Lytechinus pictus: one gene and its partners. The protein of the gene in region 2 interacts with the protein of the main gene of each other region in a pairwise test. Links are inferred from orthologs where the notes say so. Each region holds a gene or a part of one and is shown on either strand. Other genes may lie near its edges.

Region 1 (7,612 bases), on a different chromosome or scaffold from region 2:
CTAGCAAGAAAATCAAGTGGAGCAAAACCACAGCTCAACATTATGTCAACTGTCACTTATTAGGTGTGTCTGTCACTGTGTCAAGTCAATGATTGTCTGTAACTAATATTGAATCATTTATTCATTGCAGAGATGCCTGTCTTATGATCAGGATTTCATATTTGTTACTTCAGATATTGGTTTTTGGATTGAGACGATATCTATAGGTTATTTTCTTAAAAGCATGAACAAGTGGGACATAGAATTATCCTATTCCAAACAATTAGGGGTAATCCAAATACCTGCTTTATTATTGTTATTTTTTATATCTACAACTCTTTCATATACACAATACACATGTTTTCTATGAATGCTTGTGAAATAATGGTTCAGTACTATACTTGATTACTGAGCATAATTGGATGCACTGTACCTATAAAACTCATTCACTCTCATGAGTATGAATACAGTATGTGAATACTTGAGGAATTATATTTGCACATTAAGAGTATTACATGTACGTGTAAGTATTCTTAAAGGTCAAGTCCACCCCAGAAAAATGTTGACTGGAATAAAAAGAGAAAAATCAAACTAGCATAACGCTGAAAATTTCATCAAAATCGGATGTTAAATAAGAAAGTTATGTCATTTTAAATTTTCGCTTATTTTTCACAAAACAGTGATATGCACAACTCGGTGACATGTAAATGAGAGAGTCGATGATGTCCTTCACTCACTATTTCTTTTGTTTCTTATTGTTTGAATTATACAGTATTTTATTTTTTACAGATTTGACAATAAGGACCAACTTGACTGAAACATATAGTATTAAATAAAGTTAATTCCACATGTTCAGGGAGGAATTAATTGTTGTTTCACTTGACAATGAGGAGAAAATTCGAATATTTCATATTTCATATAATAAAATACAAAAGAAATAGTGAGTGGATGACGTCATCAGTCTCCTGATTTGCATACCGACCAGGATGTGCATATAACTGTTTTGTGAAATTAAGTGAAACTTTAAAATGTCATAACTTTCTTATTTTACGTCCGATTTTGATGAAATTTTCAATGTTATGCTTGTTGGATTTTTCTCTTTTTATTCTCATCAACTTTTTGTTGGGGTGGACTTGTCCTTTAAATTTATGTTCTGGAGAACAGCATGCCTTTGTGTGGGTATTATGTAATTCACTTGGTATTGTTTAAACCTTAAAGAAAAAGATCAAAAATATTAATTTAGGTAATCCAACGTTGTCAATAAATGTATTTTGACTTGTGTTCATAATGATTTTATGAAAAAACTAAAATGATGAATACTGTACATGACATAGTTTCAAAGCACTATCAGCCCCAAACTGGTTGCTACTTGACTACAAAAAATACTACTTGATTATTATTTTTTTAATGGGTTTTATGTGGTACCTGCACAGGTGTAATTATGTTTCATGTATGGTCATTGTGATAGGATGAATGTGATGCTGATATATGATAAGATGTTTTTTTAAACTAATGAAGATGAACACGAGGGCTGGTCCCTTTTTCGTTTGATTTATTATTTGCAAACGGTGGAGTCAAGCTTGTGGCTGTGAAGTTGGTTGTAAAATTTGTATTTATTATGAGAGAGTGGTTTATTATCAAAATATGGTTGATTACAGTGGCACCTGTGACCCGGAGGAGACAAAGCATTGGAGGGGCACAACATTGTTCACAAACAATACAGTGCCCCTCCAATCATTGTCTCCTCCGGGTCACGGTCCGCCACTGGTTGATTATATTCATAATTGCATTTATTATAAAATGCAATTAATTTTCTTTTATTCAAAAGGGTACAGAACAGTGAAAGTATCATTTAAAAAAGCTTGAATAAGTTTGGCTTTGATTTATTTTGAATTTATAATTTGAAAAGGTCGAAGAAATATGAACTTTGTGATTTCAACCATTGCTACTCTATTCTCATCCATCCAAAGCTCCCTTTTCTCTCTCTCCCCCTCTCTCACTCTGTCACACACCATTTTTACACCCCACCTGCTCACTCTTTCTTTTTCTCGTAGATTCAGAATTGATAAATATCTATTTTCACTTTGTTACATGAAGGTACACTGAAGGGTTTATTTATTTTATTTATTGTCATTTTTGTAGAATGAAAATTATAATGAGTTACTGATTATTCTGATTATACATGTATATTTACTTAGTAATATTACAGGCCAATGGGAAGTATTACATGTTTTCATGATTGATAATCACACAGTAATTGAAATATATCTATACAGTATGCGTATGAGCAGTACAATGAATGATCTATTACCAAAGTAATTTTTTTTTCAGGATTTGTTCAAATCCCACCTTGGCATGATCATTATTTGGCAAGATGTCATTTGACAATTTGCTTCTCTCCACCCAGGTGTTGAATGGTGACTTAGTAGGATAAGGAAAGTGTGTAGTGTTCTTAGTAATTTAAGTTCTCTCTTGTTTGAATCTTCCCCTAGGAAGTAGGCTCACAGCTTCAATATATGCATGGCTGTATGCAAAGGAGGAGGGGGGGGGGTGGGTAGTACCCCCCCCCCCCGGAAATTTTGAAAACTTACATTTTTTACTGATTATTTAAAAAAAAAAACTATGTACAAAATCCTTCAATTTCACTTCACAAAATGCAAACGTGCCCCAATAAAAGCTTGGTCGCTTCTCTTCCTCGTTTTCGATTTTTTTTTTCCTCAAAAAATTTTACACGTCCTAACCCCCCCCCCTCCAAAAAAAAAAATAGTATTGAAAATAATTTCTGTGTATAGCCATGAATATGTGAAAGCAATTAAGTCAGAGCTTGATGAACAGGGTAATGATACAGCACTTAGAATAATAATCCTTGGGAGCATTTCGTCAACATTTTTTGTCCGATTGATTTTGATTAGCTGAGAAGCAATGTTGCTATGATCAATGTTGGATAAAACAGGTTTGTTCAATTCATTGAGTATTATAAAATGTTGATTATTGTGATTATTATTTTCATGCATTAAAAAAATAATTATGATTACAATTGACAAATGATATATAAAGGAAGTTAATGGCAATTGATTGTACTGCCATAACATTATATCCATTTGTTGGAGATTTTTTAGAATAATGGGATGGTTTTCATCAGTGTCAAAAATATGTTCTATTAAAAGATTTTTATTGTCATTTCGATTTTGATGATTTTATTATTTTTGTGCCATTATTGTATCAGTGCAAGCAAGAGGACTCATTAAAAATAATGTAAATAGTACAGAATGTCTTACTCATTATTACTCTTTATCAGAGTCTTAAGTATGGTGCTCCGGGAAAACTTGTTGAGTAGTGTCAAACAGCTTCATGGACTTATCAAACCTCTCAGAAATGTATTTTGTTACTAGGGGGAAAAATGCAACTACAGCAGTCCAAATATGATAGTTTGTGCACATTATTAGTTAATATATTTTTGTTCAATTTATCAATTACTGCACAACCTTCCCTGCCACCCTTGAAGGTTGTGTAATATTTTCATATACAACACACAAAATCTCTAAGGAGAATTTCTACTTTTTATTCTCCTAACCCTCGTCTCCTCCTTCCTCTTCTTGTTCTTGTTCGTCTTCTTCTTCTCCTTCTTTTCTGCAGACCTCACTCCGATCAAGTGGCGCCTGAGGTAATTTTCCGTTTGTCCCCTGCCCCTTTCTTTTCTGCCCTCTTTTGTTTATTCCTCTGATCCTTTCTTATCTTTGCTCTCTACCTTGGCAAGATGTGGCATATTGTGTAAAATTTATGAAAGGCTGTGAGCGACGCGAGCGCAAGCAAAGAATTTGACATTTTTCTTAAAAAAAAAATCAAATTTGATAGATTTTGACATAACTTTCAGAAAATAATATATTTCACCCATCTCTCTTTTTCTTACCTTTTTCTTTTCTTAGTCGTAATTGTTTTTTTTTGTTTAGGGAGGGGGGGGGGGAGAGCCATCTGTACACCCCGGTGTACACCAGTGCTTTTTAATTTTCTCCATTATTTCCCCCTCTCCTTCTTTAGTTACTATTTTTTTCGATTTTTTTTTCTTTCCATTCTTCCTTTTATTAGATTAATTAGATATATTAATGTAAACAAACATTTTTTAAAACAAAATGTATGCGAACATTATATGCATGTAGTTATAACTTCGTATAAATACAATGTAGTAACATATTTCATTTCGTCCTCGCTTCTTCTCCTTCGCCTCCCTCTTCCCAAAATGTCAAAATACTAGTACATGCGAAATAGTGTTCCTGGATTAAAATGCGAAATCAGCTATTGCGCCCTCTTTCGTTAATCAATCTTGGTTTAGTCAAATCACGTGACCTTCGCTCATTTCACGACTTCACGTTCATTTTTTATTTTTCATTTTTGTACGACTATTGCATGTCTGCGCGGTCTAGGCCCTACTCGTATATTGCACGTCTATTTACTGTGCTTTTGCGCTTGCATGCTGCTGTGCGTATTTCGCGATCGTAAACTGAATTTGCGCTTGAGGCCAGGATCTCCGTTGCTTTTGTGAATGAATGAGATCTCATCTTTTTGCCGAGTCGTCGAGATACCCGGATTTCTTTTCATCTCGCCGAATAACAGTTTACATGCCCACGACTTTGTCGTGAATTGCAACCTTTTAACGTTAGGGTGAGTAAATCGTAGTCTATCAACACACATTTGAATGACATTCTGACAAAATGCACTGCACTGCCACTGGCACACACCACAGTGCAGTGCATGCAGAGCAGACTGCACAGCATGCAGCAGTGCCAGCCATAGTCATAGACCAAAACTAAAACAAGCTTCGGTCTCCAGGTCTCTGTTAATTTTGTTATGTTGGTTGTTCAGCTGAACTCCGTTGGCTTCACTCACCAAATACAGAGACCGAAGTTTTAGCGCGATCTGTACAGGGGACTCAATGGCAATATGTTTATGTACTTAAGTCAAGATCGGATAAAACGGGGAAGTGAATTTGCGCGACAGCCGAGGTAAGTCACTGACACTGTTTTTGTTCCTTTTAACTTGATTTTTCTCCGTTTTTTGGCAATTAATGCCAAGAGGGAATATTAATTTGCATTTTGGTCGCGTTAATTTTCAAAATTTTTATTCATTAAAGACAAAAATTGAAGAGCCCCGACGGGGGGATTTTGCATTGCAAGTCCCCTAATCAATGGTGGTGGCTGCACGCTAGCGAGCCGTCTGTGTATGAGGAGAAATTAAAAAAATAAAAAAGTTAAAAAAACTCCTCGAAACCGACGGCTGCCAGCTGTCTATGCCAGCCAGTGCAGTGGCACTGCATCTTTTTTCCTTTTCATTCAAGTTTCATTATCCACTCACACGTATTTAGCCAGGCGGCTTCTAACAAGTTAGAGAGTAAAAATCATTTACTAACGTAAGGTCACTCTCATACGAAGCCAGGGCTTCCGTCATATACTTTTGCGTGTACCACCAGAAAACCTGAAACTTTCGCCCCCGAGATTTCTACTTTCTTTCTAAAAGATCTAGCCCTAAATCATGTATGGTTGGAACTACCCCTTATCGACCACCTAATCTTCTCAGCATCGTATCTGCAAAAATATTCATCAATTTTACCCAGTTTTAGTCCCATTTGTGCAGAAAATTGAGAAGATCAGATTCCCATGTTTCGCTCGGCGACTCCGATTCAATCCGCGTATATATCGACGAACAATGAATACGACGATTTTACATTTGCTCATTTGCACCCGTCTTTTGAAACCGACCACCCGCGATACACTAAGTTTACGGCCGATTCTTGTAAATATTTTTACTCTTCCAAATCAGTTCTATGATGTCAACATGCTAAATGATCGTCTCACTACTTCCGCTGCGAGCTCCGCGCCGGCACATGATTCGACGATTGACGACGGATATTTGTTCTAAAGCCGTTTCCTATCGGATTTCTTGGTTTTTCAGCGGGAATTGGGTCTGGTCAATACAATTTTGATTAATTCTACTAAATTTTTACTTTTTGTTGCTTCTTTTTTTCTCGTAAAATCGATTCTTACCGTTTCTATGGACACTGCGCCTACTCTCCCGCGCGTATCGTTTGTAATACGCAATAATTTTATCGCGCGCAAGGTGGTCGGTTTCAAAAGAGGTGGTCGATATGTGGTAGTCTCACCATACATGGGATACAACTTCATTTCTACGCTATGGATTTTATTTTTAGACAAGAATTCATCAAAAAAAAATGAGAAAAATATCATGAATAGACGGAAGAGACTTGCCCGATGTTTACGCCGCCATCTTGTTTTCTATTTATTGTTCTTCACCCATGATACGGACGCTTGCGTCGCGTAACGTTGGGGAAGAACAATAGAAAACAAGATCATGAAGATGGCGGCGTAAACATCGGGCAAGTCTCTTCCGTCTATTCATGATATTTTTCTCATTTTTTTTGGATGAATTCTTGTCTAAAAATAAAATCCATAGCGTAGAAATGTCGGAAATGAAGTTGTATCCCATGTACATGATTTAGGGCTAGATCTTTTAGAAAGAAAGTAGAAATCTCGGGGGCGAAAGTTTCAGGGTTTTTGGTGGTACACGCAAAAGTATATGACGGAAGCCCTGGCTTCGTATGAGAGTGACCTAACGTTAGTAAATGATTTTTACTCTCTAGAAGCCGCCTGGCTACACGTATTGCGGGGTTTTTTTTTTTACTATACTAATACTAACCTTGCACAACCAACGCAATGGTTTTTTGAGTTGTCCTTTAGACTTTTTAGTGCTTTAGCCTTTACCTTTACCCGAGTCGAGATTCTGGAAGAATGCTGATGATCCCAGGCCCAGCACAGCAGTCGTGCTTCCACTGAAGTTCCAATTCAAGTCCTTCATCCTTCTTGTTAGTTAGGTATCTTCATAGGCTAGCAGTCTAGCTTGGAAATCTACACCGTCCTCGACATTAGTATGGTTTATTCATCATAGGGTGAGCAGTACCGCTGGTCAGCCCACACCTTGTCTAGCCTTATTTTAAAACTGTTCACCGTCTGAGCTGTGAGTGTGAGTGTGACAACCTCTTGGGGCAGCGAATTCCAGTCATTTATGACACGCTGGCTGAACAGTAGAGGCGCACGGCCAATATTGGAGACTGTCTCCAATGTGGGAGATTATCTTCCATATCAGAGACTTTTGTAAAGAATTTGGGTATCCAATTTCAGAGACAGTCTCCAGTTTTGGAGTCCAATTTCCTTTGTTTACATTTGCTGCCAAAGGATTACCTTGGCGGCAAATAAAAATGTGATAAGCAGATTCCTCATGAAAAATTACCCCTTTTCACCGTCTACTTTAAAAATTCACCGTCTTCTTTTATTTTGATAAGGAATTTTGTTGTCAATCACATACAAAACAAATGGGCTTCTGACCTCAGTGAGACAAAATTTTGGGTGGAAAAAATCATACTTTTGTTGGTGTTGTTTCTTTTGTCCTTTTGCAAAGCAAGTCTCCAATGTGGGAGATTGTCTCCCCTATTGGAGAGAGTCTCCCATATTGGCCGTGCGCCTCTACTGCTGAATACATCTTGTCTGATCTTAGTCGCTTCATAACGCGAATAATGTTAGCCAAAACTCATTCCGCTACTCACCAGGGCTTTTTCTGGTGATAA
Region 2 (7,653 bases):
CAGACCTAAAAAGGGACATTATAAACAAATTTTTGTAATCATAATACGTACCTGTCTCACTAAACAAACAATGCGAGCGCAAAGCGCGAGCTGAAAGTTTTGTATATGTTGACCCCAAACAAGGACAGTTTAAGGACTATATTTTGGGAATCCAATAAGAGTATACATATCTCACCATAGTCATCTAATGCGAGTGCTAAGCGCTTGCTGACTTTGTTTGAATAATATACATCTAAACACATGAAGCACTTTTTGTAGTCATTATAATCATGATCATCATATGCATCTCGATCACTAGTCAAATATTAAGAGCGCGAAGCGCGAGCTGAAAATTTAGGAAATTTAGACCTGAAGAGGGGCATTCTAAGGCCTGCTTGTAGGAATTCACGAAAACCATGCTTATTTTACTAACCAAATGATGCGAGCGCGAAGCGCAAGATGAAATTTTTTAATATTCAGATCAGAAAAAGGGACATTTTAAGGTCTGATTTTAGGAATTCATGAAGAACATACATATCTCACCAATCCACGAATGCAAACGTAAGCACGGACAGGAAATGGTTTATATTAAGACCTTAAAATGGGGCAATCACTTTAATTAAAGGTCAAGTCCACCCCAGAAAATTGTTGATTTGAATCGATAGAGAAAAATCAAACAAACATAACGCTGAAAATTTCATCGAAATCAGATGTAAAACAAGAAAGTTATGACATTTTTAAGTTTCGCTTATTTTTCACAAAACAGTTAAATGCACAACTCAGCGATATGCAAATGAGAGAGTCGATGATGTCCATCACTCACTATTTCTTTTGTTTTTTATTGTTTGAATAATACAATATTTCAATATTTACAAATTTGACAAAAAGGACCAACTTAACTTAACCATAAACTGTTAAAATAATGACAATTCTACATGTTCAGGGAGAAATAAAACTTTGTTTCACTTGAAAAGGAGGAGAAATTTAGAATATTTCATATTCAATATAATAAAATACAAAAGAAATAGTGAGTGGGTGACGTCATCAGTCTGCCAATTTGCATACCGACCAGGATGTGCATATAACTGTTTTGTGAAATTAAGCGAAACTTTAAAATGCCATAACTTTCTTATTTTGCATCCGATTTTGATGAAATTTTCAGTGTTTTGCTTGTTGGATTTTTCTCCTTTTTTTCAAATCTACTTTTTGTTGGGGTGGACTTGTCCTTTAAGTAGTCATGAAAAAGAAGCATATGTCAATACATAAAACAATAATAATTTGAAGTGCGAGGAAATATATTTTGTGTATATTGACTTGAAAACGGGAGGTTTTAGTACAACAGGATTATATATCTTGTTAAACAGACAATGCGAGGACCAGGAACAATGAAGACATAGCCTAGGCCCTGCGCAAATTAGGCCTATGTTTCATAAATTTATGATTTTTTAATGTAATATAACATAACATAATTATAATATGATATAACATTATAATTAGCAATAATTTATTCTTTCCCCAGTATGTTTCTCTCCCTTTCTCCCTCTTTTTCTCTTTTCCCCCGTTTTTTTTTTGGCCAGCCGATTGGGGGGGGGGGGCACGTGCCCCCCATGCCCCCCCCCGTAGTTACGCCACTGCTCCTCGATACACAAATAAATACAATAGCATGATTAGCAAGACGGAAATAAATTAAAGATGACAAAAAGGCAAACAACAGCTGAAAATGAAGGTAGAATGGAATGAGTCAAAATATAAATTGGAAAATAAAGAAAAGGAACAAGACATTAACACTGCCGGGCTGCCGAGGATTGAAGATAACGAGCGGGAAGAAAGATGGATAATGTCGTATGAAAGTCTGTTATTACTTGCTAGATCTCCAAAGCTACCGGGGGCTCTATCCAAGAGCCCATGTAAAAATCAAATTTTGTGATAGATTTTGACATAATGTTAAAAAGATAATATCATATTCACCCTCCTCTCTTTCCTTTTTTCTCTCTTTTTTTGTACGCCACGGTGAACAGGATTTTTGTTATGATTGTGAGCATCAGGGCGAAGCTCTATATGCTCGAGTATGGCGCGCTTCTGGCAAGAAGTAGCTTAATATAGGTCCCGAGCGAGCGAAGCGAGCGAGATAAAAAAAATCACCTTTTCATGAGAATCTAACATAAAGATAGATTTTAACGTGATATTCAGAAAAATATAATACACTTTCCTTTCTTTCCTTATTTTTTGTTTGGTTGTAGAACTTTTGGGGGCCTTGGTCCAAACTCATCCATATAACAGTGCTTTATGGGTGGGGTCCAGGGCAGAGCCCCGGAACCTCTTGATATCAAATCCATTTTAAACCCGTTACAGATGGCCACTTATTTTAATCAAATTGCGTGTATATTTATATAGCTGTAACACAACACATAAATTCAATGCAGTTGTGTATCGTAATCATCCAAATATTGTGAAGGGCACACCAAAGCAAATGTGGGAAAATTTGTAAAAAGTCGCCAGCGAGCGAAGCGAGCCAGAAAAAAAAATGGCCTGTTAAAATGAAATTCTAATTATGTGATAGATTTTTACATCATTATAGCAAATATCATGTCATATATTTTTTTTTTCATTCATCTCATTTCGCTGCCTCCTTTATTTTCTTTTATTTCCCCTTGGCTGAGGAACCACCCCCGGTACGCCAGTCATTCAATGTAAAGCTTAATGCAGGAAGGGTCCATATAGGGGCCCGTTATAGAACCCATTAAAGGTTACAGATGAAGAGCCCCCACTGCACGGGAGATTGGAGATTTAGCAAGTTTATGATAGACTTTCATACGACATTATGCTATATACCATCCATTTTTCTTCCCGCTCGTTATCTCAATCCTCGGCAGCCCGGTAGTGTACGTTATCTTGTCCCTATTCTTTATTTTCCAATTTAGATTTTGGCTAATTCCATTCTGCCTTTATTTCCCGCTTTTGTTTGCCTTTTTGTCATCTTCAATTTATTTCCCTGTCTTACTAATCATGCTAATGTATTTGTATATCGGGGCGAATTTTTCTTTCTCACTTGTTCTTTTTTCCTTCCTTTTCCCGTTATCTTTCCGTTTTCCCTTTTTTTATGTATTTTCTTAGTTTTCTTTTCCCCTTCCCCTTTCCCCTTTTTTCTTTCCTTTCCCTTTCCCTTTCTTCCCCCCCCCTTTTTTTTCTTTTTCCCTTTTTTTTTAATTTTCCCGGTGAGCTCCGCCAGGGGGGGCAGCTTGCCCCCCCTGCCCCCCCGCCTGTTACGCCACTGCCTTTAAAGGGCTCTATAACGGGCCCCTATATGGACCCTTCCTGCATTAAGCTTTATGTTGAAGCACTGGCGTACCCGGGGGGGGGGGGGTACCACAGCCAAGGGAATATAAAAGAAAATAAAGGAGGCAGCGAAATGAGATGAATGAAAAAAAATATGTATATGACATGATATTTGTTATGATGTAAAAATCTATCACAATTACAATTTCATTTCAAAAGGCCATTTGCTATGTGTGCCCCCTCAAAATATTTGGATTATTACGGTACATAACCGCACTGGATTTATGTGTTGTGTGCCCTTGTGTGAAAGCTATATGAATATAAACGCAATTTGATTAAAATTAGTGGCCATCTGTAAGGTTTAAAATGGCTTTTATATCAAGAGGTTCTGGGGCGCACTGTTTTATGGATAAATTGGACCATGGCCCCCAAAGTTCTACAACTAACCACCCCCCCAAAAAAAAAAGAGGAAAGAAAGAAAAGCATGCAAGCCAAAGGAAAACTGTATTATATACTTTTTTTAATATATCACGTCCAAATCTTTCATGTTAGATTCTCATATGAAAAGGTTTTTTTTTTTTATCTCGCTCGCTTCGCTCTCTCGGGACTTAAAAGGAAAGAGAGAAGGATGAAATATGATATTATGTCAAAATCTATCACAAAATTTGATTTTTGCAATAAAATTATCAAAATTTTTGCTCGCTCGCATTTATATTTCTTTGTACGATACACCATACCACCCCCTCAAAATTTTTGCCTCATGACGCCATTGCCTGTTCCATGATATGACCGGGAAATTTTTGGCTCTTGCCCCCCCCCCCCCCCCCCCTCCCCGGCCACCAACCCCTGTTACGCCCCTGTAAAACAGGACTTGTCGGATACAAGTCCTTCATGAAACTCCCTTGCTTTGTTGTAGTTCCAATTTAGGGCCTAAGTTTTCATTTCAGATGGTAACCTTACAAGATACCATATTATATAAATACGGATGACTAATCGCCACTCCCAACATAACAACAAGAAGAGAAGTTATTTCATTTAGACGATTCCATTTTAATTATAGGGGTTATCTTGTAGATGATGATTATTATTATTATTTTTAACTTGGTTTAGCCATATCCATGAAAGTAATTTTTGAAAAAAATAATGAATATTTTTCACAGTTTTATTTCAGATAGTATTATTTCTATTTTTTTTTTTCTTAGAAAGACTTATAAAAATCTGATAGACCCTATGGGCAGGCGCCTATGCCCCGAAAATATTTGCAAGCTCCAGCTAGCTCCAGATATGCAGATCCAGCCAGCGCGCGTTCTACAAATTTTGGTAACTGCCCTGTAATTCACGGCATAATTAACCTCGCAAGACCGACGTATTTTCACACTTTCAAAGAGAAATCAGAGGTGATATTTAATGATTTATTAAACCTTGTTATTGTTTTCATTTGTGTTATGATCTTTCATTACTCTCAGCTTTCTTCACTTCTTCATTACTTTTAATCTTATTCACTTCTTGTGTCTGTCTGACGTGTTCACCAACCATTTTCTTGCCATCGGCATCGCACTGACTGGCCGCACAAGGGACAAGCAGCCTACGGTATATCGGTAGGGTGTCTGAAGCCACACTGAAAAGTGTCAGCATAAAACAGGCTGATTTAGGGGAAAATATGGCACATTTTTTCGGGGAAGTTCAGGCTACTAGAAAAATGTGATCTGAATTGATTATTAACTTGTGTTTGGCATGTATGGAAAGAGAAAATTCAGGGGCTTCTTTTGACAGTAAGGACAAGTTTATATATATGATCATTTTAAATAAGGAATAAAGGATCATTTACCGTAAGGGTACTAGTATTCAACCCGTTTGGAGAGTTTCCTCAAATATATAGAAATATAGAATTTACCTGAATTTCAGACCCGTCTTATTTCCAAGAGCAAATGCTGGTTATTCTTTTTCCGTTATTTTTTTCTTCAACCAGTTGACTGTGTGCGCGGGCGATCGAATTATACGGCGACGGATTTTAGTACTAGTATTCAACCCGTCGGCACTAGTATTCAACCTAGCGATGAAAGATGGCCCTGTCTCTCAATCTGCCCTTGTCCCATCCGACTATGGACTAGACCATTTGAGATGAGACCAAACAGGGAATTAATCAAAGCCAGAGACTTACATAGATCTAGATCTAATTTAGCAATCTAAACCCTTTTGAGATTTGCTATCAATCCTCACTAGGTTGAATACTAGTACCATTCAGTGCAAAAGGCCATCGCCGCATAATTCGATCCTCCGCGCATACAGTCGACAGATTGATAAAGAAAATACCGACAACAGATTACCCTGGACATAACAAAGGTATGAAATTAAGATAAATTCCCTATTTCTAAATATTTTGGGGAATATGTCAAAATCTTTGAATTATGCCGGGTTGAATACTAGTACCCATACGGTACTAGACTTAGACTTAGAGGTAAATTGCAACCCCTTATTTTTGTGTGTGTTGAGATTGCCATTTCTCCATGCGTTTTCTATGGGAAAATGAAATTTCTGTTTTGCACAATTTTTTTCACTTTGTCGCAATTTTTCATTGTGATCTGGTTTCCAAATCTTTATAAAAATCATACCATCAGATAGAGCATAAAAAATCCTATTCATTTATTGGACTCTAATTATGGACAGGTTTTTGGCATTAATAATAAATTTATAATTAACAGCTCTCGGAAGCTAAAAATTTGGATTTGTGTGTGTCCATTTCTTAACTACACAGTCTATGGCAGAGAAATGCTGAAAATTTACCTAATTTCATTCTTCTTTTTTGCAGCCAATAATTGGATTTTTTTCAAAAATGTTACATTTCTGTCAGTCTGAAGGTCATTTCTCTTCAAATTCACAAAGAAAATGTGATATTTTCTTGAAATAAGAAAAATAATTTTTTTCTCCAGACACCCTAAATTTTCTAATAGCGGTACCCCTCGGCTCTCCACGAAAAACAATTATTTTCGTGCGCGACAAATTATGATTCCAGACGCGCGTCGGACGGGTGAAGATATTAAACAAATACCGGTATATCAGGCTTTGAGAAAGTATAGTGGAATTATTTATCCGAGGTTGGTCTGACAACTACTAAATACTATTTTTCCCGAGGGGCGAAGCCCCGAAGGAAATAGTAATTAGTATGGCAGTGTATCCTATTACCGGACACCTTTATTTCAGTGCTTTAAAAATGAAAAACTAGAGGAAATACAATCAAGAAATATTTGCACTTGCTATTCCAAATATTATGAAAATTATGAATATGATAAAATTATTTCATATTTACCAACCGTTTTCTTTGCATCGCAATTGTCGCATACCCCTCCACGAAAAAGTTATTTTCGCGCGTGACAAATTACATCATGATTCCGGACGCGCGCCGGACGGGTAAAGATATTCTTCATTATAATGATGTAAGAAAGAATTTGTGTGAATTTTTCTTCATATATCATATCATGCATAAATTCTAAGCTTATGTTTTGTTTTTTTTCACATCAAATCTGAGCAGATGTTGGTAATAAATTTGTGTTTGATAAATTTTATTTTGACTTCTCAGCTGCATGTTCCATGCCCATGGCACTTTCCAATACTATGCTCGTTCGTATCGTAACGCTCATCAGGTTTGATGCGCTGTCGATCGATGGTCGACGGCTATAGTCACGGTAAACCTCGGGCACGGTATACCTCGAGTCTAGCCGTCGGCGATTAACCACAATACACCACACTTCATCATTCGATCGAAGGAGAGGACGGGACTGAAATTCGGCAAAATCAGGCCCATTTTTCCATCAGAAAATATATCAATTGTTAATGCAAAACTACGTTATATGATATTTAAATCATTTTCTGTCATTTTAGAGATAAATAAGGTAAAAATTGGATTTTTTCGCCTTGTTTTAGCAATCTTGTTCTATGAATTGCTCTGTGAAATTGAATTGCGGAAGTCTTACGGTACAAAATTGTTTTCGTACGCAGTACTATGCGCGTCCGGAATCATAATAGTGTCCGGTAATACAATACGTAACTGTACTATAGTTTTGCCAGCGCGCGCCAGTCCAACCGAGTATTAATAATTCCCACTACTCACTAGGCCTATATATTTCTATGCTTTCGAATGAAACGCCTGATATATTTGTTTTATATCCTACTTTTGATAATTTATAACCAAAATCTATGCGCTGAGCTTGCAAAGTCCGGTTACTTGCGTCAAATTACCTACTTTTCTCCGAGCCACCGCGCTCAGCGGAACGCAGATTAGTGCCTGCACCGACGCATCGCGGGATTTGCCCTGGAGTCTGGACTCGGGAGAGAGAGCTCGCTGGCCGGTGCGCCCGAGAGTTTAGCTAAATAACCAGTTTTCTGAAATAATGATGTCAG
Region 3 (7,825 bases), on a different chromosome or scaffold from region 2:
TGGAACACACTGTGAAATCACCTATACACACTATTGAATTTGAGTTTTCAACAGTATGAATCACACAGCAGGCCTTGTGAACACGCTGTGAACAATCACACTGTCGAGGTGTCACAGTCATGAGCATTTTAACAGCGTGGATGATATTTTCACATAGTCCACTATGTGAGCACACTGTGATCACACTGTGTGCTCACTGTGTTCTTTCCAGAAGGGCTATTTCATTTATTCGTTTATTTAGAATTCTGTACCAATTAATTTAATTACTTATTTATTTACTCATTCAAATAATTTCATCTGTTTATCTTTAATTAGTTATTGAATTTTTAATTTAAACGAGGAGACAATATTTTTATCGAAGCTGATGTATCCCTGCTAGAAATATCACGCAGTCACAAGACTGTGAAACAGTGTGTCTGGCAATGCTGTCTTACACACTATGTTGCACATAGTTATTCCCATGCGATTAACAGGAAAAAGTTTTCACTCTGTGCATAAGTATTCAGTGTGTCAACACTGTGACTTAACATACAGTAGGTGACTTAATCACGGGGTAAAAACAGTTTCATCACACTTGTTTCACTCTATGGTTAAGATATATTTGTAATTATTCACAATGATGACACACTATGTAGGCTTACCACAGTGTGAAAACGTATTCCACATTTATGGCAGAGGGGTGGCCACGTGAGTGTGACACAGTGTGGAACATAGTACTGACACACTGGCACACTTGAAAGTTCGGGGTTCGATCGCCGGCTACGGCATCTATGTTTCCCCGCGAGCAATGCATTTAATCGATAGTGCTCTTTATCCTACATTCAAATAAATGGAAATGCAATATGCACTCTTAGAAACTTTGTGTACTTTTTTCTTTTAGAAAAATATATTGACTTCCTGTGTTTCCTTCTGGCAGGGGCCGCGCGCCTTGGCTTATTATTTTATCCCATGTTGATCGTTATTTATGATTATGGTGCGTAAATTATTATTTTTATCATTATCAACAAAGACAATCGGATGCCACTTTCTATTTCATTTTTTGTGGGAAAATGTATTTCTTGATTTCATTTTCAATCAAAATCAACAGCGGATATTTATTTTTTTCTCATAATATGGAAGTATTTTTCATTCATGTGTAAATAATATATGCAAAATATGTCTTCACACTGTGATCACATTGTGTTGAAAAAATGCAACAGAGTGGCAATTTTCTTCACAGTGTGGTCACTGTGTGGAACTATGTGAAATTATTGTGCAGTACAAATGCAGCCGCAGTGGATACCTTCTACACAGTGTGGTTTTATATAATCTTCACTGCGTGGGCGATGTGTGAACACACTGTGATAAATGAATTTCACAGTTGCAAGTTTCGAATGTGTGTCGAATAGCATGATTGTGTGAACACAAAAAACAAGTGTGTTTTTCGTTATCAATCAGTGAGGGAATGAAATCAAACAGTGTGAACCGTTTCACATGTGTCATAATGATACACGCATCACACCGTGCCCACATTGTTTTCACTGTGTTTTCAAAGTTGACTCACCGAGTGTTGACTATTTCCTGCATAGAGAAGTCCACATACATAAACATATATGTATATTCAATATAAATATTTTTCTCAATTTTTATTTTATTTCTGTTTTTATTATAATCATTTGTAAATTTTGTGATTTATTCAAATATAAATAAATTTAACCTGAAATGACAAGTGTGGATGTGTGTTTGAGTGTGTGTGGGAAAGTGGGTGTATGTTTGAGGGGGTGAGAGTGCTGGGATCATTATTATTGTTGTTGTTATCATATATATACATGATATCACTCACCTGGTACTAGTCCAACCTCATTTGGCCAAAACAACCCTCCGTCCAACACATCTGTATTCAATCGTCTCACATCGCCTTCTTCCACCAACTGTTTTGCTATATCACGCACAATATAGTTCGAATCTAGAGTATTTGGGATAGCTGAAAAGGTGCTGATACTGAGATCATATCCACCGACTCCTCCTGGCCGGGGCTCTATCGCCGTAAACGCTGGGTTCCGGATAAGAAACCATCCCAAATCTCTAGCTTCCCAGGCCCAGAACTGCTGGACAGGCAAAAATAAGCATAGTATAAATACCAAATTTGATGAAACGGTCATTTTCAGATCAAATTCCTCCTTTCTAGAGAGCAAAATTTAGGAGTGTTAATCAAACTTGCATGTTCTGAGCTCGTTATCTCAACGTGCAACTGATCATAACTACTTTAGAATTTCTTGGTCCGTTTGTTTAACTTTACGTTTTGGTCTACAACATCAGTGTAGCTCCCAAGAGTTGTTTAATTAATTAGTTATGAATTAAACTGTGATCAGTTCTATGGGTTAGGATGACCCCGTTAATCTTAGGTATACCAAAGGTCGGATTCGTATCAAACAATATGTAATTGAGGACGAGTTCGAGAATTACGAATGACATAATTCTTGAATTGGTTGTTTAGAGATCAAAGTCTTGGTCGCCGCAAGCCTGTCGCTATGTACATGATTATCATGTTTTGCGTCAATGTCATACAGATTTTTTTTTATAGTAATCACCAAGCAAGTGCCCCTGCCACCCCCTCGGTTCCGTCGCCCCTGCATGCAATTCCCGTATCTATAAGTTCTTTCCATGCCCGATCAGGTCAATTTCTGTATTTAGCGTTCTGTTCCCTTCTGCAAGTGCAGCTTAAAATTGAATAATTCCTTTCAAAATGTATTTATTTCCCCCTTTATAGCTCTTTTTTTTTCATAGTAAAATTTTTCTTCCGTGTGTCACTTTTTGATATGCCCATGATATTTATTTCTCATCAATGCCCCTTCTCTTTTCTCGTTTGTTCGAAATTTTAAGTCTGTTAGTTATAATTATAGTGTCATTTCCTTTCTTTTCTCTAGGGGTAGTGGAATCGGGAGAGGGGGGGGCAGGGTGATAATCCAAAAAAATTCCATAGGGAAAAAGTATATATTTTTCAAAATGAAATGTGCCCTTTGTAAGATAATACTTAAAAAAATATACGCATCTTAATTCGTCCTCAACTTTACTCCGCTGCCCCTGACCTGGACAATGATATGCATGACTATGTCAAATTAACCGAATCTTTATAACGTCATAATTATGGCTGACTTTCTTATCTTACATCATATTTTGATGACAAGTCAGCTCGCATACCCCAGCAGTACCCCTACGGATCGTAGGATTTAAAAGCTGAGTAATGTGTATAATAATATGATATTGTGTATGAAGACCAAGAAATATGTATAGAGCGTATATGCAAGTATACAACAGAAATATAAACATACTGTATAAAAGAAATAAAGATTTTTCGGATTTTAATAGTTTAAGGTGAGAAAAATATCCACTCAGAGTCATGTTGAGTTTCAAATTGATGTTCGTTTGTTTCAGATCATGTTCACGAAATGAGAGGATTTATGAACCCTTATCTCTTCTACATCTCAAATTGTGATTTAATTGATGAAAACATTATGAAAGGTAGTTATCATATTATCAATGATAATTGTCATTTCTATTTCTGTTTCTGTTTCATTAAGAACGAAATAAGCAGCCTTTTTATGTTTTGGCCAAATTATTTTGGATTCCAGATAAATATTAAGTGGATCAAAGTCAAAACACAAAAATTTCATATATTTAATTGATTTTTTTTTTCATTCATTTCTTTTATTTTATTTTTGTAAGAGTTAGTACACGAGCTATACATCTCTTTTTGATTGATCAATATCCTCCCTTCTTTCCTTTCTTTCTTAAAAAATATATTTTGTTCTTCTTCCCTCATTTTTCAATTTAATACCATAGGGAGGCGGTCGGAGGTCGCCCCTATGTAGATGGGAGAAAATATAAAAAAAAAAAAAAAGAAAAGGGTGGAATACAATATTTTCTTCTGGATGTCATGTCAGAATCTATCACAATATTATACTTTTTATTAACTTTGTCAATTTTATGCGCGCTTGCTTTGTTTGCTTAATCTTTGGAGAAAGTCTCCCATAGATGCTATCTTCTCTGGTCCCCTTATTAATTTAGGCTTCATGCCACTTTCATTGGGTCAAACCGACTGTTTAAACCCCCTTTTGCAAAAAGCTTGATCCGCCACTGATATATAAACCAATCATAGAGGTGTATCTTTTATGAATCAATACTCAATTTTACCAGTAAACAAAAAACGGTATTTAAAAAAATCGAGTTCATATCGTTTAGCCGAGTTTCCCACTGTTTTCACTTTGAAGGAAATTACCCGATTTCCGGGTAATCCGGATCATTTTCAGGTAATTTTCGGGTAATGAAAAAAATCCAGGTAATTCCGGGTAACCAGAAAATTACAATTAAACTTTTCAACTTTAATATTCATGTTATAAATTTGTTTACCTCGATACGTAGCTCAAAATTGTGGTCTCGCGCCCCGCGCTCGCAATTCGTAATTTTGTTCCTATTTTAAAAGAGAGTGAAAAAAAATGTTGAATTCCTTGATTTTGGTCACTTGGACCAAATTTAGGCTCGCTGTATTATTGCCCGATTTTAGTTAGAAATAAAACTTGAAAATTCTAGGAAATGTCTATGAATTTCGGGAAATTTTGGAATAAGTTTCGGGAAATTTGTTTTGGATCTGTTGAAACACTGAGCTTTCCATAGGCTGCTGCGCGCGCTCCGTTCGAATTTTGACTGGCAAACCTGCGGGCTGCGAATCGCTTTAATAAAGTTTATTAAACTAAAAACTGGAATTAGTGACGTTAAATGATGAATGATGAGAATCGTGTTTTCAGCTGTTCTAAAGAATTAGAGAAGTGACAAGAAGATGGTAAGTTCTCCATATTATATTAAATGTACCGTATTAAAAAGTCGTGAGTTGTAAAGTTATTTAGAGACGGTGTCAGCGGGACCAGCAAGCCAGGCAGCAAGGCAATTACCGTACGGTACGGTACCTGAATTAGATTAGGCAAGGGTCAGGCGCCGAGCAGCCGGGCGCACCCCGCTGGGTGCTAGCTGCACAGAGCCGCGGATCCAGGGAGAAGTGCAGTGGCCAGGCCTGTTACTTAGTTAGACTAGTCTAGAGTTAGAAGGGTCTTTGCCTTTACAAGGCTTTGGTAGAACCTAGTCTTGAGCACTTGTTCACTGCAACCACCCTGCCTGTGGGGAATCTACAGGTTGGATTATGGCATGCCAATGCTGTACAGAGCACACACTTTGAAAAATAATTAAAATATCACTTTTGTGACCAAAATTACTAATTTCCATATAGGCCTAGGCCTAGTTGCAATTTATTTTTCATTAGTAACTTGAGAATAATTTTGTATTCACTAGAGCGCTTAAAAACTTGAATTTTGGGCATATTTGTGTGTACGCCCTCTATTGGTGGAAAATAATATGGCAAGAAAATTTTCATTTTTTATCTCTATTTTTAATTAAGAAAAAAATAATTTAAAGAATCAAATATACTTAAGGGCCAAGTTGTATGACAAATAGGGGTAATGGAAACTGTCAGTGTAAAAAAATCAAGTATTTGTCCCAAAGAAAAAGAGAAAATAAGCCAAACATTGCCATCCTTATTTTACCACACATGGAGATATAACTGAGAACAAGGTTATATCATAACCTTGTTCATTGAATGAGTGGTCTTGAGGACTCAAGGGGCCCGATTGCACGAAAGGGTCTTTGCAAGGACCGTCTTTCGTGTCGCCCATTTTTTATGATGCGCCATATGAAACGCATTTCAAATAAATTATCTGCAAACATATTTTATTCGTCCATTGAAATAAACAAACTAGGCCTATTTGTTTATAAAATGATGTGATATCTCACAAAGTTGTATAAATTTGATTTAAAAGCAAGCTTACGAATTGTATTTGATTATCATAAATTTCAGAAACACCCCGCTTGTATGATGGGGGGACCTAAAGCTACGCACTTTGTTTCCAAACGATAAAAACTATGCCAATTTTAATATTTGAACAATTATTTTTCACTAATTTGTAATAAATATTCTAAATATCCTTAACCAAGAAGAAAATATCACAAAACTCACGAATACGAAAATCCCGCCGTGTTTTCCGAACACCTCTTAATTTCGCCGCCCGATGTAGAAGGGGTCCTAAAGCTACGCACTCAATTTATCATGCAAAGAAATAGTATTTCCTGTGCCTCAATTTCTAAAATATGTCCGTATTATTATAGGAAAATATGAAATCAAAGTGAATATAACTCCGAAATTCCAAACATTTGCTGGTTTTCTCTGCATTCAAGGGTTTATTGCAGCCTCTGTAAAAAAATTGAATAGGGATCGTTCGTCACAGCTTCACACACAGAGCTAGAGTGCGCATTTATTTTGCCATTGGAATTGCATGCGCGATGAGTGGTGCGTAGCTTTAGGACCCGCGTAGCTTTAGGACCCCCAACCACTTGTACTGTAGTTGTACTGTAGCGCATTATAAAGATGGGCGACACGAAAGACGGTCCTTGGAAAGACCCTTTCGTGCAATCGGCCCCATGATGTTATACTTCTTCACCATGGAGTATAAGCTTGTAACCGATTTTGCAATCGGCAACCGATTCCATTCGATTTCACCACAATCGGCAATCACTTGCCGATCTTCGATCATGCCCCTTGAAGGAAAAAATCGAAAATAAAAAATTGGCGTAGATCTGGTTACAGTGCGTGATCGCTCAGAACATATTTCAAGATTGTTTTTGAGGTGCTAGCTATTTAGAGGTCGCATTATTCAGGGAGAAAGACGCGGTATTATCTATGGCGATGTTTAAGAGGATAGATATCTTCTCCTCCAACTCATGGTGATAGCGGATGCCGCCGTGAACTTTGAAAGGTCGTATTACCGACGGAGCTCACTGCGTTACTCTCTTACATCGTTTATGATGATATACATTTTATTTTCAACCTCGTGGTGATAGCGGATGCCGCCGTGAACTTTGAAAGGTCGTATTACCGACGGAGCTCACTGCGCTACTCTCTAACCCCGTTTATAATGATATAAATCTTCTCTTCAACCTCGTGGTGATAGCGGACCCCGCCATAAATTTTTAAAGACTGTACTATTGACGGAGCTTATTGCGTTACTCTCTTACATCGTTTATGATGATATACATTTTATTTTCAACCTCGTGGTGATAGCGGACCCCGCCGTGAACTTTTAAAGATCGTGCTACTGACGGAGCTTATTGCGTTGCTCTCTTACATCGTTTATGATGATATTCATTTTATATTCAACCTCGTGGTGATAGCGGAAGCCGCCGTGAACTTTGAAAGGTCGTACTACCGACGGAGCTCACTGCGCTACTCTCTAACCCCGTTTATAATGATATAAATCTTCTCTTCAACCTCGTGGTGATAGCGGACCCCGCCATAAACTTTTAAAGACTGTACTATTGACGGAGCTTATTGCGTTGCTCTCTTACATCGTTTATGATGATATTCATTTTATATTCAACCTCGTGGTGATAGCGGAAGCCGCCGTGAACTTTGAAAGGTCGTATTACCGACGGAGCTCACTGCGCTACTCTCTAACCCCGTTTATAATGATATAAATCTTCTCTTCAACCTCGTGGTGATAGCGGACCCCGCCATAAACTTTTAAAGACTGTACTATTGACGGAGCTTATTGCGTTACTCTCTTACATCGTTTATGATGATATACATTTTATTTTCAACCTCGTGGTGATAGCGGATGCCGCCGTGAACTTTGAAAGATCGTGCTACTGACGGAGCTTATTGCGTTACTCTCTTACATCGTTTATGATGATATACATTTTATTTTCAACCTAGTGGTGATAGCGGATGCCGCCATGAACTTTG

Evidence for each region.
Region 1: the proteins of DNA repair protein RAD51 homolog A (region 2) and SUMO-conjugating enzyme UBC9-B-like interact in a two-hybrid assay, tested with the Caenorhabditis elegans proteins (2 studies listed by BioGRID). The link is inferred for Lytechinus pictus from reciprocal best matches to the Caenorhabditis elegans genes rad-51 and ubc-9.
Region 3: the proteins of DNA repair protein RAD51 homolog A (region 2) and DNA repair and recombination protein RAD54-like interact in a two-hybrid assay, tested with the Caenorhabditis elegans proteins (3 studies listed by BioGRID). The link is inferred for Lytechinus pictus from reciprocal best matches to the Caenorhabditis elegans genes rad-51 and rad-54.L.

What each region holds. Positions count from the first base shown.
Region 1 is NC_087254.1:20,337,317-20,344,928, forward strand, and holds the start of SUMO-conjugating enzyme UBC9-B-like, read left to right. Parts: upstream 1-4,296; 5' UTR 4,297-4,638; intron 4,639-7,612. UniProt on the Caenorhabditis elegans protein: Accepts the ubiquitin-like protein smo-1 from the aos-1-uba-2 E1 complex and catalyzes its covalent attachment to other proteins with the help of an E3 ligase such as gei-17.
Region 2 is NC_087251.1:40,097,047-40,104,699, forward strand, and holds the start of DNA repair protein RAD51 homolog A, read left to right. Parts: upstream 1-4,493; 5' UTR 4,494-4,499; coding exon 4,500-4,652; intron 4,653-7,653.
Region 3 is NC_087255.1:21,260,885-21,268,709, reverse strand, and holds the start of DNA repair and recombination protein RAD54-like, read left to right. Parts: upstream 1-4,663; 5' UTR 4,664-4,816; coding exon 4,817-4,819; intron 4,820-7,825.